2 linked regions of the Lepisosteus oculatus genome follow. The protein of the gene in region 1 purifies or fractionates together with the protein of each later gene. This does not show direct contact. Links are inferred from orthologs where the notes say so. Each region holds a gene or a part of one and is shown on either strand. Other genes may lie near its edges.

Region 1 (7,523 bases):
ACAGGTCTCAACCTCTTGGAAAAATGTTTCATTTACTTCTAAACACACACTGTTGCTTCCTCAAGCAAAATGCTCACAACAAATCCTGGCCTTTCCTCAGCTCCTCCTCTGCCACAATCATCAGTTCTCCTTTTGTTACAGCCAGATGGATAAGCCTAGCAACTGGTCTTAAAAAATCATTAAAATGCTAATAGGTCAAATTCACCACTTCTGGTATATAAAGGTATTAAGGTATTGACATTCAAGAACACTGACCTAAATGTCATGCAGTTAAATAGGCATATCCAAACATGTAAAGTCTTAACCTTGAAAGACCTTGAAATTAAAGTGGTTTAAAACATACAACATTACAATTTTACCCAAGAAGTAAGATGCAATGCTGACTTTGTAATTTTTCTGCAAAATATTTCAGACTTCAAAACAAGCAGGAGACTCCTGCAAAGTAAGGCAAAAGGGAAAGGACTCCTGGTCCCAAAATCTTTGCTCAGAAAATAAACCTAAAAAGCACAGTAAAATGAAGAATTAAGACTGTAGAAGTTGTAGTCACTCTAAAATAAGTATTGAGAGCTCAAAAGAGTGTCCTATTTCAGTAGGCTTGGTCACAAAAAGTCCAGGTAAACTCAACATTTGCCAGACTCTTCCTTTGTGACCTCTCATACACAGTACTCTAGGGCACAGCTCTTGGGCAAGAACACCTTTGCCTATCCCTTCCTCTCCCCTCAGGAAGCACAGAAAAAAGAACAGTGGCAGCAGGTATAAAGAGTAAGAATACTGGTGGATTCCTGTTCTACCAAACGCAAACCCACATCAGCAGCTCACCCTGTGATGGCAGCAGGGTGGTTTTCCAGGGAAAGAGTTTCCATAGCCTTGGTGCAGTCATCCAGACCATCAGCACGCTCCACCTGGCTTCCCTTGTTTGACGAGACAATCTTGCGCGTCACGGGGTCTCGCAAGGGCGTCTGAAAACAGACCTGAAACAAAAGGGAGACGTGGCAACTGTACCCATCTTCTCCAACACAGGTGTTCAAGGGCTTAATTAAAAAGATCCAACGGAGCTCATTTGGAAAGAGGATTGCGTTTTACACAGTTCAGAAGTTCTATACCTTCACTCCCTTTGCCAAGCTTTTAGGAGGCATGTTTTCCTTTTGGGACTGGCGCAAGATGGAGGGTCTTCCTGTGGGCTGCAGGATATCGCAAGTCTCCAAACTGATGCAGCTTCGTGCAGGATCCACGCCAAAGTTTTCATCGTTCACGGCAACCACACTCATCCTGCGAGCAGACAGCCAGTGTGAGTGACAGGCCACGCCCAGAGTGCCAGCTCCACAGCTGGGCTGGCAGATAACAGTGGAGACCAATTTGGAAAAGCACACTCAGCATGACTCCACTGTCAATACCACTTCATATCCACTATATCACTCACCTTCAGCACAAATTCACTGTACCTTTAGTTACTACACAGTGGACATGATTCGGTCCACTCATTGCTTTCAGCCCTCATTAACTGGATTATGTACAGTATATGTTTGAATTTTAAAACAAAAACTACATACAAGTCAGGAGTAGAGTGCCGGGTGTCATTTTCCATACTGAATTAAGAATTTGGGATTTTTTAAAAAAGAATCACATGCAGTTTGACCTCACTAAATGTGTGACAGAGCAAAAAACAGTTTCCCAGATTTCTTGTGAAAAGATATAAATCCTTAAACCTCTTTGAAGGCAACCACTGCAGAACTAATCTAGTATGTACTAAACATTGTGTAAATGCTCAACTTATTTACTGATGTTTAGGAAACAGTGCATTCCATGACTATAAAACCACTGGCCACACACAGCAACACAGGCTGAAACACAGCAGCTTCCAGTCCTGTAGTCCAACCAAAACAATGAATTTCATTATGGCAGTGTCATCACAAGACCAGAACAAAAAACAAGACTCCCAAGCAGGGGCGGAATGACATGTTCCAGAAACCTTGAGATACAGCCCATGTGACCATACTGGAAAGCACTGATTTTTCACTTGGCTCTTTTATTGTAGGTGACAAAGAACGTGTCCCTATCGTGTCTGAAGATTTACCATTTTAAACACAAAGATGTTATCTTGCGGGAGGGGCTATCAGAAGCCAGAAACGATAAAAGTCCAACTCTAGGACCTGTGGTTGAATTCAAATAGCACAGGCATAAAACCCATTCACGACATAAAAAGAAAGACGAATTATCTCTCTCTCACCGACAGTCTGTACTTCGCAAGATTACGTCACCGCATAGAGAGGACCTCCCAGCCCCGTTTAAACATGTGAGGACAAGAAAGCAAGTTCCATGCACGTTTCCCGGAACTGAGCCGAAAGGATGCAGCGATCATCTGATTTTATTACATCCTCATCGATCATTAGCAAAGATGAGCAACAAAGACGTTATCGCCTGTACTGTGGGTTCAGGCGATAGACCGCGTCTTAAACTTGAAAAACGGGCTTCGACAGACTAAAGAGAGATTCACACGTAACTGGCAATTTCTAAAAACTCACCCAGGTGACAGCTTTCCTCCAAGAAGTCTGATTGTCACAAACAGGCCTGCAGTTCGGCGTTGCGTTCAGTGATTTAGCAACACTTAATGACACGATCATGACTTATCCAGCCATTGAAGCAGGCAGCCGCGAGTGAACACGGCCTCACACCCGCACACATGAACTGTCTTTCGGCTGACCCGCATCACAGCAACGCCGCAATTCATCCGTCCCATCACGAATAAAGCAGCTCGAAAGTGAAGACGTACTGCGGCTTACCCGGTGAAACCTGGCCGACAGATAATTTTCCGTTTTCCCTTACAGGCGCAAAATCCAAAACACAACTACCAAGAAAGCTGCGATTCTCCCCGTAACCCCGCTGTCTGCCCAGAGACGATTTCCATCAAAAATAAAAAGCGCCGAAACATGCAACAATTACTTCTAAAGCCCGGCACAAACTCATACGTACCTCGAACGACGAGTAAAACAGCATCAAACGCGAACAGCTTTCTTCACACTCAAGTCCGTACCTGACGTTCAAGCGCTGCAAACCGCCCAGTACATTTTAAATTTAAACCGAGGCCAGCAGCCAATCGGGAAAGGGAGCACGTCAGCAAATGGGTGTTTTTTTAAGACAAACCAGCCAATGGCGACTGAGGACAGACGGAGCTGCGAGATAAGGGTACGTCACCATGATTGATTGCCGAATAACCCAATAGGATGGAGAAACGACGAGCTCGAGCGCTGCGTTACTAGTTAAAGAGGAGGATTGTGTCAGCGGAAGCTGTGTTTTTCTGAGCTTGTTGATGACATATAATCAGTCTCTGAATTCGTTGTGCCATTGATTGACAGAAGTGTATATATGTCGACAGTGCAAATGTACGATGCACGTGTCCTGAGCAGCGCTAAAAGTTTTTTTTTTCCGTGAATGTGTGGTCAGCATTAGTGTTACTGCCACCAAACCGAGTTTCATCCCGGGAAAAGTGAAGCCGAATTATAAAACGAGGGCTGGTTTCATCTGATACATCTCCATGTCTCTGTGATCAGTAACACTTTTACACTGGCAGTGGTAGTTTCCTCTCCTCCGGCAAAAAAAAAAAAACAGAGGGTGTCTGGTCTACTGTAATGATACCAGCAGAACCTAAAACAAAACGGGAAAACGTGATTAGAACCACATCAAACAAAATTGTGGGCAAAGGATTTTGTGGTCACTCTCGTTTCAGTTTTAGTGCCTTTTGTGAATTTTTTTTAAACGATATTCTGTTAAACAGGACATATTAAAAATGGAAATCATAATAATTCCTTATACTTATATAGCGCTTTTCTGGACACTCCACTCAAAGTGCTTTACAGGTAATGGGGACTCTCCTCCACCACCAGTGTGCAGCCCCACCTGGATGATAGATAGATAATACTTTATTAATCCCGTAGGGAAATTGATGTGTTACAGCAGTCCAGCCTAAGACAAGCAAAAACAGACTTAAGAATAGTTATAAAACAAAAGACAACAAAATAAAAAATAAATACATAGGTGTGTGCAAAATGTGATGATCATAGTCACTGTAAAAGCAATAAAATATGTGCAAAATGTGCATAGGTTTATACAGACTGATTGATGGGATGATGCGACAGCAGCCCATACTGCACTCACAGTACACTCACCACACAGGAGCTCTTGTGGAAGAGAACAGAGATGAAGCCAGTTCATAGATGGGGGTTATTAGGAGGCCATGATTGGTACAGGCACTGGTTCATTTAACTTGGAACAATGCCATACATTAGAATTCACAGGTGAAGATTGCTGATCCGTGTGCCTAAGGAAGTATCCAAATATCCACAGAGCTCGGACTGTCTGTGTCCAACAAACCAACTAAGTTGGACTAAGTTAGGACTAGGCTTAGAGAAAAAATAAGCAATTTATATCACTTCTAGTTAAGATCACTACTGGAAAGGGATTTGATCACAGGGAGATGTAACTCTGGGCTTTACTCTCAGACATACTCTCAAAACTGTTTTTTTTTTTAAGTGGGATGATGAATTCGGAACTTAATTCTCAGGTGTAATCACTGAATTTCACACATGTAAAGCCGCCCTTGGCCTGTTGCAATACATTTCTTCAGCAGAAGCATTTAAACACAAAATAAAGTACAGAGGGGAGCTCAGGAGATCTCCATTAAATTTAACGTGAAAGAAAAGCACAAAGAGTGGTAGCAGCATGGAACAAACTAAAAGGACAGGTGGAACACTGCTGGATGAGATCCACTGATTAATGAGTTATACCAAGCCAGCACACAAGTGCCCTTTCATCTTCTACTAAAAACATCATTGTTAAATTCAGTGTGCTCATCTACTCATCAGGCATCGTTTTAGATCATCTTTGAGATAGTGTTACAAGACAGAGTATGAATAAATAAAATAGAAGTATATAAAAAGAACACCAGGACCTGACAACACCTTGCCTTGCAAACAGATTGTCAAAGGTAATGATTGTACACTGAGAGGGTCGATACCATGATCACATAGCTGATGGAGAAGTGCCTTTCTCTGTGGTGCTGTTGGCAACAAGCCGTAGTATTTTTCCCCAGAGCTTTAGAAAATGAAAGGTGTTGGAAGTCATAGGAATGCACTGTGCTTTGAGCTCCTGGATTGTCTTATTATGGACAACATGCAGTTCAGCAGACAAATACAGCAAAGAGAGCCGGGGTATGAACCACAGTTTCCAAAATGTATCCGTGCTCTCCCAGTCTAGGAGTGATAGATGAGAGTGGTAGATGGCCTCAATAATGCTCCATATATTTGTATGTAAATGTATTATGATGTCTCTATATTGTAAATGTCTGTAGATCTTATGTTGATTATATATGATGTGGCAACAGTGATTTTTTTATTGGTCATGCCAACAAAACTTCTTGAATTGAGTGGTGACATTGTGGCTAAGGATCTGCACCTGTGGCTGGAAGGTAAAATCCAGGGGCTGGCAGAGGAATCCTACCCCATTGGGCCCCAGCTGCTCCAGGGGTGCTGTACAATGGCTGACCCTGCTATCTAACCCCAAGCTTCTCCTCATGTCTGTGTCTCATGGAGAGCAAGCTGAGGTATGCAAAAAAGTTTTGGCAGGTGACTGTGTGTTGATTGGGGAACCATTAACCAGCATCTAATCAACGTCTAATCAATTGTCCTACTGAGATGGCAGGGGAGATACCTTGATCAGCCTGTAGGTGGAGTAGTTGGATTGTTTTCTTGTTTTGTGGGAGCAGTGTTTGTTTTGCAGTTTTTGAAATGGCAACCTTTGGATCCCGCAAGAATGCTGTACGTTTTGAGCTTTTGGATGACCTCTTCATGGATCGTGTGCAGTTCAGCAGAAAAGTGTTACAGAAGGAGCTCGGCTTTGAACCTCGGAACTTGGATTTCATCTTCGCTCTCCCAGGTCAGAAAGCATTTGAGGTTCTATTTGCTACCTATCCTCTGTTTGAACAATGCGTGGATGTGTTTGAGGCAAAAAGAGGGAAAGTTCCTGCACTTGAGAAGATCAACTTGCAGCCTCTGACACAGAGAGAGAGGAAAACGGTGCATGTTGTTATGTTCTCGGAACTGGCAAAGACGGAGGACATTCACACCTGGCTTAACCAGTACTGCACCGTCCACCATGGAACTGAGGTTAGAGATGTTGACGGTATAAAAACAGGAGCAGGGAAATTCGAAGTTCGCTTGCTACCGGACAGCGTAAATGGACGCTTAAGGCACCTGCCCTCTACAATCCGGCTGGGCGCCTGCAATGGCTATGTGTTTTATGTGGGACAACCAAAGGTGTGTCGGCGCTGTGGTGCTGTGGGACATCTGGCATCGTCCTGCACTGTGAAATGCTGCAAGACCTGTGGCAAACAGGGACATTTAGCCTCTGACTGTTCAATGCTGCCAAAGTGCAATTTATGTGGCTCGGAAGGACACGTTTTTAAGAACTGCCCTCACGCCTACGCCAATAAACTCAAAATGAGAAAGGATGAGGCAGTGCTTGTTTCAGCCAAACCGGCCCGAAAAGCCAAAGCAAACAACAAGTCAAACAAAGAACCCTTGTTGGACAAAGACTCTCAGCCTCCAGCCAGGATCAGTCCTGCTGTGGCTCCGGGGCTGGTGGAAGAGAAATCCACTACGCCCCCACAACCGCAGACTGCACCAGACAAGCACGAGGGTTTGAAAACCCCCGAGAACAGCGAGGACCCCTCCCCCACTCCTGCTCCTCAGAACGAGGGCCAGTGTGGGGCCCCCCGGTGGAGCGGGTCCAGCGAGGATACCCAGGATTCAGCGGAGCTGCTTTTCTCAGACTCTGCAAGTGCTACAGATGCCCTCCTCTCCTCCATCCAGTCCATCACGAAGGATCTGCGGCAGCTGGTGGGTGAGGGGGAAGAGGAGACCATCCTAATGAAGGCTCATTCAGAGGATGGCTGGCAGGAAATTGGTAAGAAGAAAAAGAAGAAGGTAACAGGTGAGACAGAAGAGAAATGTGTTTTGTAAAGACTGGTTCCACTTTCTTATGTAATATGGCTCTAAACATAATTTCTCTTAACACCAGAGGTATCAATGACAGAGTTAAATGCCAGTCTGTCTTTGATTACCTCCAGCAGAGAGAGGGAGATGTGTTGATGTTGCAGGAGTGTGCTTTAGCCTATCAAGAGAGGTATAAAAGCTTTGAAGATAGGTGGGATAAAGGGCCTTCTGTTTGGTCAGGGGACAATAACAACAGAGCCTCTGGCGTGGCCATTCTTTTCAAAGGATGGGCATTCAAATTGAAAAGTATTCAGAGGGTAATAGCTGGCAGGTTGCTGTGTGTGGATGTGGAATGGGGGACCGTTAACCTGCGGCTAATCAATGTGTATTGTCCTACTGAGGTGGGAGGAAGGGTGGAGCTACTCAAGGCACTCTCCCCTATTGTTATGTAGCACAGACGTGATAGTGGGAGGGGATTTTAATTGTATCTTAGAGCACACAGACAGGCAGTCTAGCTCTCCGATAAAATTGGATTCC
Region 2 (7,139 bases), on another chromosome or scaffold:
CCATATTGCATTTCCTCTTGCCTGTGTGCGAGAAATTGGAGTTTGCAGCCTTGAGTGTTGCTTAATTAATATAATATAATAAGGCTCATGCTAATATTGCATCTGTATAGTGGCAGTGTGGGCTAATCTTTTTTTGATGATAGCTTGGCATTTTCAGTATCTTGATTCCCTGCAAGTCTGTTTCAAGCTGACAATACTGAAATATTAAAATGGCTTCTGTTCCTATTCATGCATGCTTCCAGAAAATATGCCCTCTCATTTTGGCCATGAACGTTGGCCGTTTGGTACTCCTTTCTACCACGAGCGAGAATGGTATAGAGAATTTTTCACAAACTGGTAATGTAATACTTTTGTTCTTATATTGTGCCAAAATGAAACCTCTGCGGGCTGCAGTTAGAACCTTGTTCTAAGTGTGAGATCATTAAATTGAGTGGTGTTTAATGTAAAAGTGGTTCCTGTACCGATATCCTGAAAGCTGCTGTTCAGATTCATGTACATTTCAGTGCATCTCTTGCACCAACTTGGACCAACTTTGCTTAAGTTTTCCCTTTTCATTCTGTGACAAACGATAAATACCGTTGGAGGAGAAAATAGGACTTTGTTCTTTTTAAATTATTCACATAGACCAGAACTCAAACACGTACTAAACCTTCCAGTACGCTTTTTGCACTAAAAAAAGGAAAAAAAAAGTGCAGTGAAAAAAGTTCCTTGTGGACCTTTCTTTGAGGCTATTTAGATGTATTTGGTGATGGCCAGGAGGTAGTCTGTTCAAAGAAAGCATATTGCATATCAGAAAGCTTTTTTTAATGATGGGAAAAGAGGACATTTTGGCAGTTACTCAGAATATTTGAATCTGCCGAGATGTTTTTTACCTGCCAAGATAATTTATTGACCGGCATGCTCTTGGTTATTGCCCACGGTACTGGCAGAATGTTGCTTTTCTTATGTATCAGATCTACTCGTACATAAAAAAGGACCTATGGGGGCTGGTGTTGGAATCTCACATGGCCAGTTAAGTTAGACATCTACAGAGTTTCTTTCACTTAAGGCACAAAAGGCATTTGAAGCATTTGACACTACCAAGACTGGTTTATATAGAGCACAGGGCAAATTAGGGGTGTCAGATCAACACCTTCATTCAGTACTATATAAATCTGGGTTGTTTTTAAGAGGAAAAGTTAGGAATGTTTTGTTAAAGTACATAACCCTTTTTACTTAATATTAACAACACCCTTTACTGCTAAATTTTATTCCTATTCCTGTTTATTTGCAATTAGTAAATACAAAGACACTCTGTACATGTTACTAGCAATGAAGATTGTACTAAAAGAATTATATTTTTAAAAAGCTTTACACAAACTTTAAGCTTTTCCCAATAGTTAAGCATTAAAGGCCAAATCAAATTTCTGATTAAAATGTTTTTGAAGGTGGAACCTGATTGATTTTACCTTAAATCCTAGTGCTGTCTTACAGTACAATGCTAAATTCTAAGGTTCCATACTGTATAAGGTTGTTTAAGACTTTCTTTTAGATGGAGAAAAGAATCCTACTGTATGTGGGAATTACTGGGCCTTCTCTATTGAGGCGAACTAGTTTTAGACTAGGGTGAGCCTGTGGTATATGTAATGATTATTTTAAATAAATAATTTTACATTAATTAAGAATACAGAGCTTAAAGAGGCCCAGCAGAAGGAAAGCATTAGGTGTTGAATGCTTGTAAGGTTTACTATGTATACTAACCTTGTTTCTTGGCCTGGGTGCATTTAAATCAATACAGTGTTTCCTTATGGTTTTGCTGTGTGGTCATGGCTGTTGAGATGGAGTGGCAGGTGGGGGTGGCCAGTGGTGACAGACGTGGTGTACTCTTCCCATCTGTCTGGTAGTGCTTTTCCCCACAAAATCCTTTCTGCGATCAAATCTGTCCCACCAGCATTTCTATGTCAAGGCAAAAAAAAAAATTAGGCTTAATGTATGACTCCAGGCAGATTGGAAATACATCACCAAGCACTTTCTGCACCAGTCAGTTCAGGATAACGTCATCGGTACAAGCTTAAGTGTAAGTAGCCAAGGACTTGTTCTGCGTTTTGCTGGCAGTGTGGCCATGTTTTTTTAAATATAAACCTTTTATTTATTTTATAGTGTCTTTGAAAGTGGCTTTTCAAACTGCTTTATAGAACAAAAAAACCCCACAAATTTATAGGAGATAGTAAATGGCTGTATAACCTACTGTAGAAAAAACAGGTATGCCCCAGTACTAAGAAAGACTCAAAAATAATTGCTGCTTGTTTAATATACTGTAGTATTTTACAGATTGTCATAAAATATAAACTTTGTGGTGTATCTCAAAGGGTTAAGGATTTTGAGTTTCTAATTAGTACATATTGTCCTTAAAACACATAATGTACATTCCGGGAAACCTATTTTAATGACAGTGGTTATTTTAGAAATCTCTCTTTTCTTGTTTTATATTTCTAGAAGGAAAATATGAGCCGTTCAGAGAAAAAAAAACGCATTTCAGGGTACAAATCCAGTTTGTTTTGGGATTTTGGCTTTTTGTGTTGGTGAAAGTGGATTGTCAGTTTTTGTGTGGCTCTGATATTAATTTTCTCCCCTGCCTTTACTGCTGCTTCATCAAAGTTGTGCTGACTCTCGACTAGGAAGTAAAGTAAAATGCCCTGTGTTTCTAAAGGATGGGCATAATAGAAGTTAAAACTGATTTCAATTTGGACAAAATAACAAACCACTCAGAAATCAAGCAAATTAGTACGACGTTCCTAGTGAATGAACGAATGAAGAGTAGTGGGAATGCCTGGCTTTTTATTACAGGGGTTTTCTTTCTGGAGTTCAGCACTGTTGCATTTACTTTCTCCATCCAGTATATTTCTGTGTGTTCTGGATTCTGTACTTTCCTTTTATAGCAGCATTATGCCACACTGGCCTTGGAACAACCACAAGTCAAAGCAGCAGTGCCCTTGCAGCTGCTTCCCATCACAGCTCACTTTGACAGCCTCCTGTCTGCACATCTTGCATGGCAGATAACGCTTTATTGAATGGTTAAATATCGTCAGCTTGTGAACATGGAATTCAGGGTCTTGAGCCCAGCAGCGACCCTTCCAGAAAATCAATGTCCATCTGTTCTTCCGCAACTTGAAAGTATAAGTGTGACAAGGTGGTGTGATAAATAATGAAAAAGAATAAATAATTAAGGAGTCTAACGCTGAAGGACGTCTGAATGTTGGAATGAGATGCAGACTGTCCTTTGCATTTGCCGTTTTGCTGTGAAGTGTTTTAATTTTTGTTTTCTTTGTTTTCTATGGTTGGTTATATATGTTTTCTTTTTGTAATGCAGTAATTATAGCCTGGCTACAGTAATTATCTTCCTGTTTACTCGTAAGGCATTTTTCATTGAGAAAAATGTGAACCATTGTTTTTTTTTGTGTGCTCTTGGGCTCTCTCTATCATCAGGACCACTGGGCATTTACTAGGAAAGTACAAGAAATACAGTGGGCTTGGCAGCAACCACACATCGTTTCGTTGATGCACTGCAATTAAGGGAGTAGCACCTATATTCACAGAAGTATTAGGATTAATATTTATTAATATATTAAGATTAGCTTTACGTTATTTCATGCATACCTTTTAAAGGAGTTCAGGTGGGTAGCTGCATCAGCATGCGTAGGCTGCAAAGGAAAAAGTAATAGGTTTATTCCATGCTGAAAAAAAGAAGAAAGAAAACACAACGTTTCGGTGTGGGGCCACACACCTGAAGGAGGCCCCACGGCGAAACGTGTTTTCTTTCTTCTTTTTTTCAGCATGGAATATACCTTTTAAAGTGTCACATTTGACTGTTATTTTTTCAATCTCTGACTCTGCTTTGTTTCTCTTGGAATCTGGCAGTATGGCTTTTTTAGAGAACAGAGAAAACATCCTCAGCAGTGTAAGGGCTCTGTGGCTCCCCGTCTGAAAAGATGGTGTTTGTGGGGGAGGAAGGCTTTAGCTGGAAAATTAAATACACACGGCTCTCTTCAGTCAGCAAGTTTATTCTAGGGAGCAGGGACATTCTTTAAGGGCTGCCCATCCCTACAGAATTAGCGCAGAAGGAGGGGTTCTCTTTGCTGGCCAGATGGGCAGGAGAGGAGCTTCAGTCTGAGGCTGGGTTCAGTCGAGCGAGGAAGAAAGACTCTAACCATGAGGTTCCTTAATGTGGTGAATACTCAGGACCAAGTGGCTGTAAAAGTGCTGGACACGCCCACTCTCCTCATGACTGAGATGTCTATTGCTGTGTAAGTTTTTTCATTGAAATGATGTCATATCTCCATATGGTGCTATTGTTGACAAGGGGAATGAGATGGGGAAAGTAATCTCTTGTATATGTGTAGTATTTTAGTGTCATGTGGTTGGTTATATTTCCGTCATGTTTCCTTAATGTTTTGTTCGGTAGGACTGTACCTACAGTAGGTGCTCGGATAACATACTGGATACAGCATATGAGCTGTGATCAGATTTGAAGTGGGACTTAAATAACTCATGACTAGCCTGCTATCACAGGCCAGTGCTGCACTAATCCATTAATAGGCTGATGTAGAATTAGACCCTCTTCTTGGTTTGGCAGTGGTTATATTTATACGAACCACATCACTTTCATTTTTGTCTCTTCATCTTTAGAAATCCGCCAATTGCTGGAGTTTTTCGTGGAAGAAAAACCAAAATGTGTACAGTATATGAAGTATGGGAGCACAGTGTCGGTGAAGCCTGTTTGTTTATCTTCTGTTAAATCCCACCGTGCACAAAGATGGGAGGTCGCAGAAAGTGGTGTGATGCCGGATCATTTTTTTAATTTATTCTAGTGAATATATGGTGTTTATTTCTGCCCCACTAATCTGTGGCCTCCCCAGGCTTTGAAAATTAATGGAACTTGATCCACAGTTCTGTGTACTTCATTCTTATAGCCACTTTTAAGTGGATAGTATGGTTCTGAAAAACCAGTTTTGTGCTGTCTTCCCAAAGTAGAGGTAGTTTTTGCTTTTTCATCAGCATCTTTTTTTATATGCGCATATTTAGCTGTTCTGCTAGTAGGTTTTACATAGATTGTCAAGATCCATGTGCAAACAATAACCTTCCCTTTATCTGCTTTTGAAACTGGAGAACTGTTTTTGTCAGCACATCTCTGTTAAGGTTTTAAACTTTTCTCAGGCTGCTGTGTTTAAATCATAAACAAACATAAAAACACCACACTTATCACTGTTTTCAGTCTTTGCTTGGGAGCTGCCATTTGAATTGGATGACTTATTTCTCTTGCACTACAACACTGTACCCTAAGATTGTTAGGGTACACTTGGATATGATGCACTTGATACTTGGGGAACTGTGGCATACTTGAGTTTCTGTATTATAGTAATAAGTTTCTATAGCCCAGTGAAGTAAGCTGAAATTCTGTTTACTCAGAGAGCCATCTCTAGGAATTTGCCGGATACAGCCAGCTGTACATTCTTTTCAGGACAGAGATAGCAATAAGGCTTGCTTTCTTTCTCAAATTTTTGTTGTGCTGCTGTTGGAATGGAAGATGGGTTCTGAAGGGAAAATAGGTTCAAGATGTGTACTAGAAACTTGCACTGCCACAATTTCTGATTAATGCATCAAGAAATGTATAGACAATTCCTGCCTTGTACTGTTTGTTGGCAGACTAACTGAACACAGGACTATATAATTTATAGTAATGCTATATTAACATTTATTTTTCTCTTAAAAATACTTAATGAGGTTGTCAGTCGTCACATAAATGTGGAAGCATGCTGGTTAAGGAGTCTCAGATTTTGTCACACAAGGACTTTTTACCCCTTTCTGGAAAGTTATGTAGCAGGAAATGCTTCATGAATATATCACATTATTTTAACAGATGTACAAAATAACTGGGTTCAAGCAGGCCTCCAAGTTGTAATAAGATACCAGAACCAGATTTAAAGACAGACTGTGAACTTGCATGGTGGGTTTAAAAGTTTCCTTAGGTTTACTTGGAGAGATTCAACAAAGCTGATTCTTCAAGAGCCCTGGCGATTTTTTTGTCATGCATCCATATTATTCTTAATTGTTTTGTATTCTTAATCCTCTGTCTGCATTGGAGTAATTTCAAAATTTCCCCTTGTTCTGGTTTCATCTAGGTCTTGAAGTAGTAATTTAGGTTCTCTGTGGGGTTTTTAATAGATTTTGAATATCTTGGTCGTATTTCCTTATTTTTTCCCAAGAGATTTAGTATGTTTAACCTGCCTAATGTTATCCTTTCACTTGGCAGATTCATCGTTTTAGATATTTGTGGTGTGCCATGCCAGCCAACATTCTCTCCCAACACAGCATGATGACAGTTACTGTACACACATGATACTTCATTACAGTACTATATATAATATATATGCACTCATCCCTCATTAAACGAGCACTGCATTTACAAGTACTTGCTAAAAAAGGCAAATGCGCATATCTGTTTTTGTAAGATGAGTGACTTTTCCCTGCTAATATAAGCTCTGAGAGTGTAGCTTGTTCTTCTTTTCCATTTTTTGCTCCTCTTGGCTGTCTGCACAACTGATGCGCATTTCTCTCCTGATGTCACCTCTCCCACGATCTTCAATGCTTTCTCACAGTCTGCAAGTAATGGGTCTACACAAATTTAATTCATTTGAAAATTTTTGTTTAGTAAGAAATTTAGATTAGTTCATTTTATATTGTTGGTATACTATAGAGATCATGCAAATTGTATTTCTCCCCATAACTGCTCCTAATACATTTAAATGTAACAACTGCCATAAAAAAAGTGGGAAATTCTACTTGCATAGCAATTCATAGGTCCACAGTATCGGTATCAATGTATCAGAAAAAGTACCTCAGATGGTTTGTGTCCGGTTATGAACACTTGGAATGCAAATTCTTCTATGTTTTACTGTTAATTAAAGATCAATAACAATATTTTATTGTAGATTTTGGGTTTGCTTTTGTAATCTTGGACCCAGTTGTGCTGGTATAATAAAGGGATGAGTGTATAAGCTACTACATCTTAAAATTGAGGGGGAACAAGCCGGAAAACATTTTCAGTATGGACAGAACAGACTTGTTTTGAAATGGATGCTGAAAAGAACATAGCTTTCCAA

What was found.
Region 2: the proteins of tacc3 (region 1) and enah purify together in Homo sapiens (co-immunoprecipitation; 3 studies listed by BioGRID and IntAct, with this or other methods). This does not show direct contact. The link is inferred for Lepisosteus oculatus from reciprocal best matches to the Homo sapiens genes TACC3 and ENAH.

The regions. Positions count from the first base shown.
Region 1 is NC_090696.1:5,719,386-5,726,908, reverse strand, and holds the start of tacc3 (transforming acidic coiled-coil-containing protein 3), read right to left. Parts: upstream 3,080-7,523; 5' UTR 2,971-3,079; intron 1,270-2,970; 5' UTR 1,269-1,269; coding exon 1,104-1,268; intron 972-1,103; coding exon 820-971; intron 1-819. UniProt on the Homo sapiens protein: Plays a role in the microtubule-dependent coupling of the nucleus and the centrosome. Involved in the processes that regulate centrosome-mediated interkinetic nuclear migration (INM) of neural progenitors.
Region 2 is NC_090697.1:58,666,672-58,673,810, forward strand, and holds the start of enah (protein enabled homolog), read left to right. Parts: upstream 1-4,096; 5' UTR 4,097-4,188; coding exon 4,189-4,283; intron 4,284-7,139. UniProt on the Homo sapiens protein: Ena/VASP proteins are actin-associated proteins involved in a range of processes dependent on cytoskeleton remodeling and cell polarity such as axon guidance and lamellipodial and filopodial dynamics in migrating cells.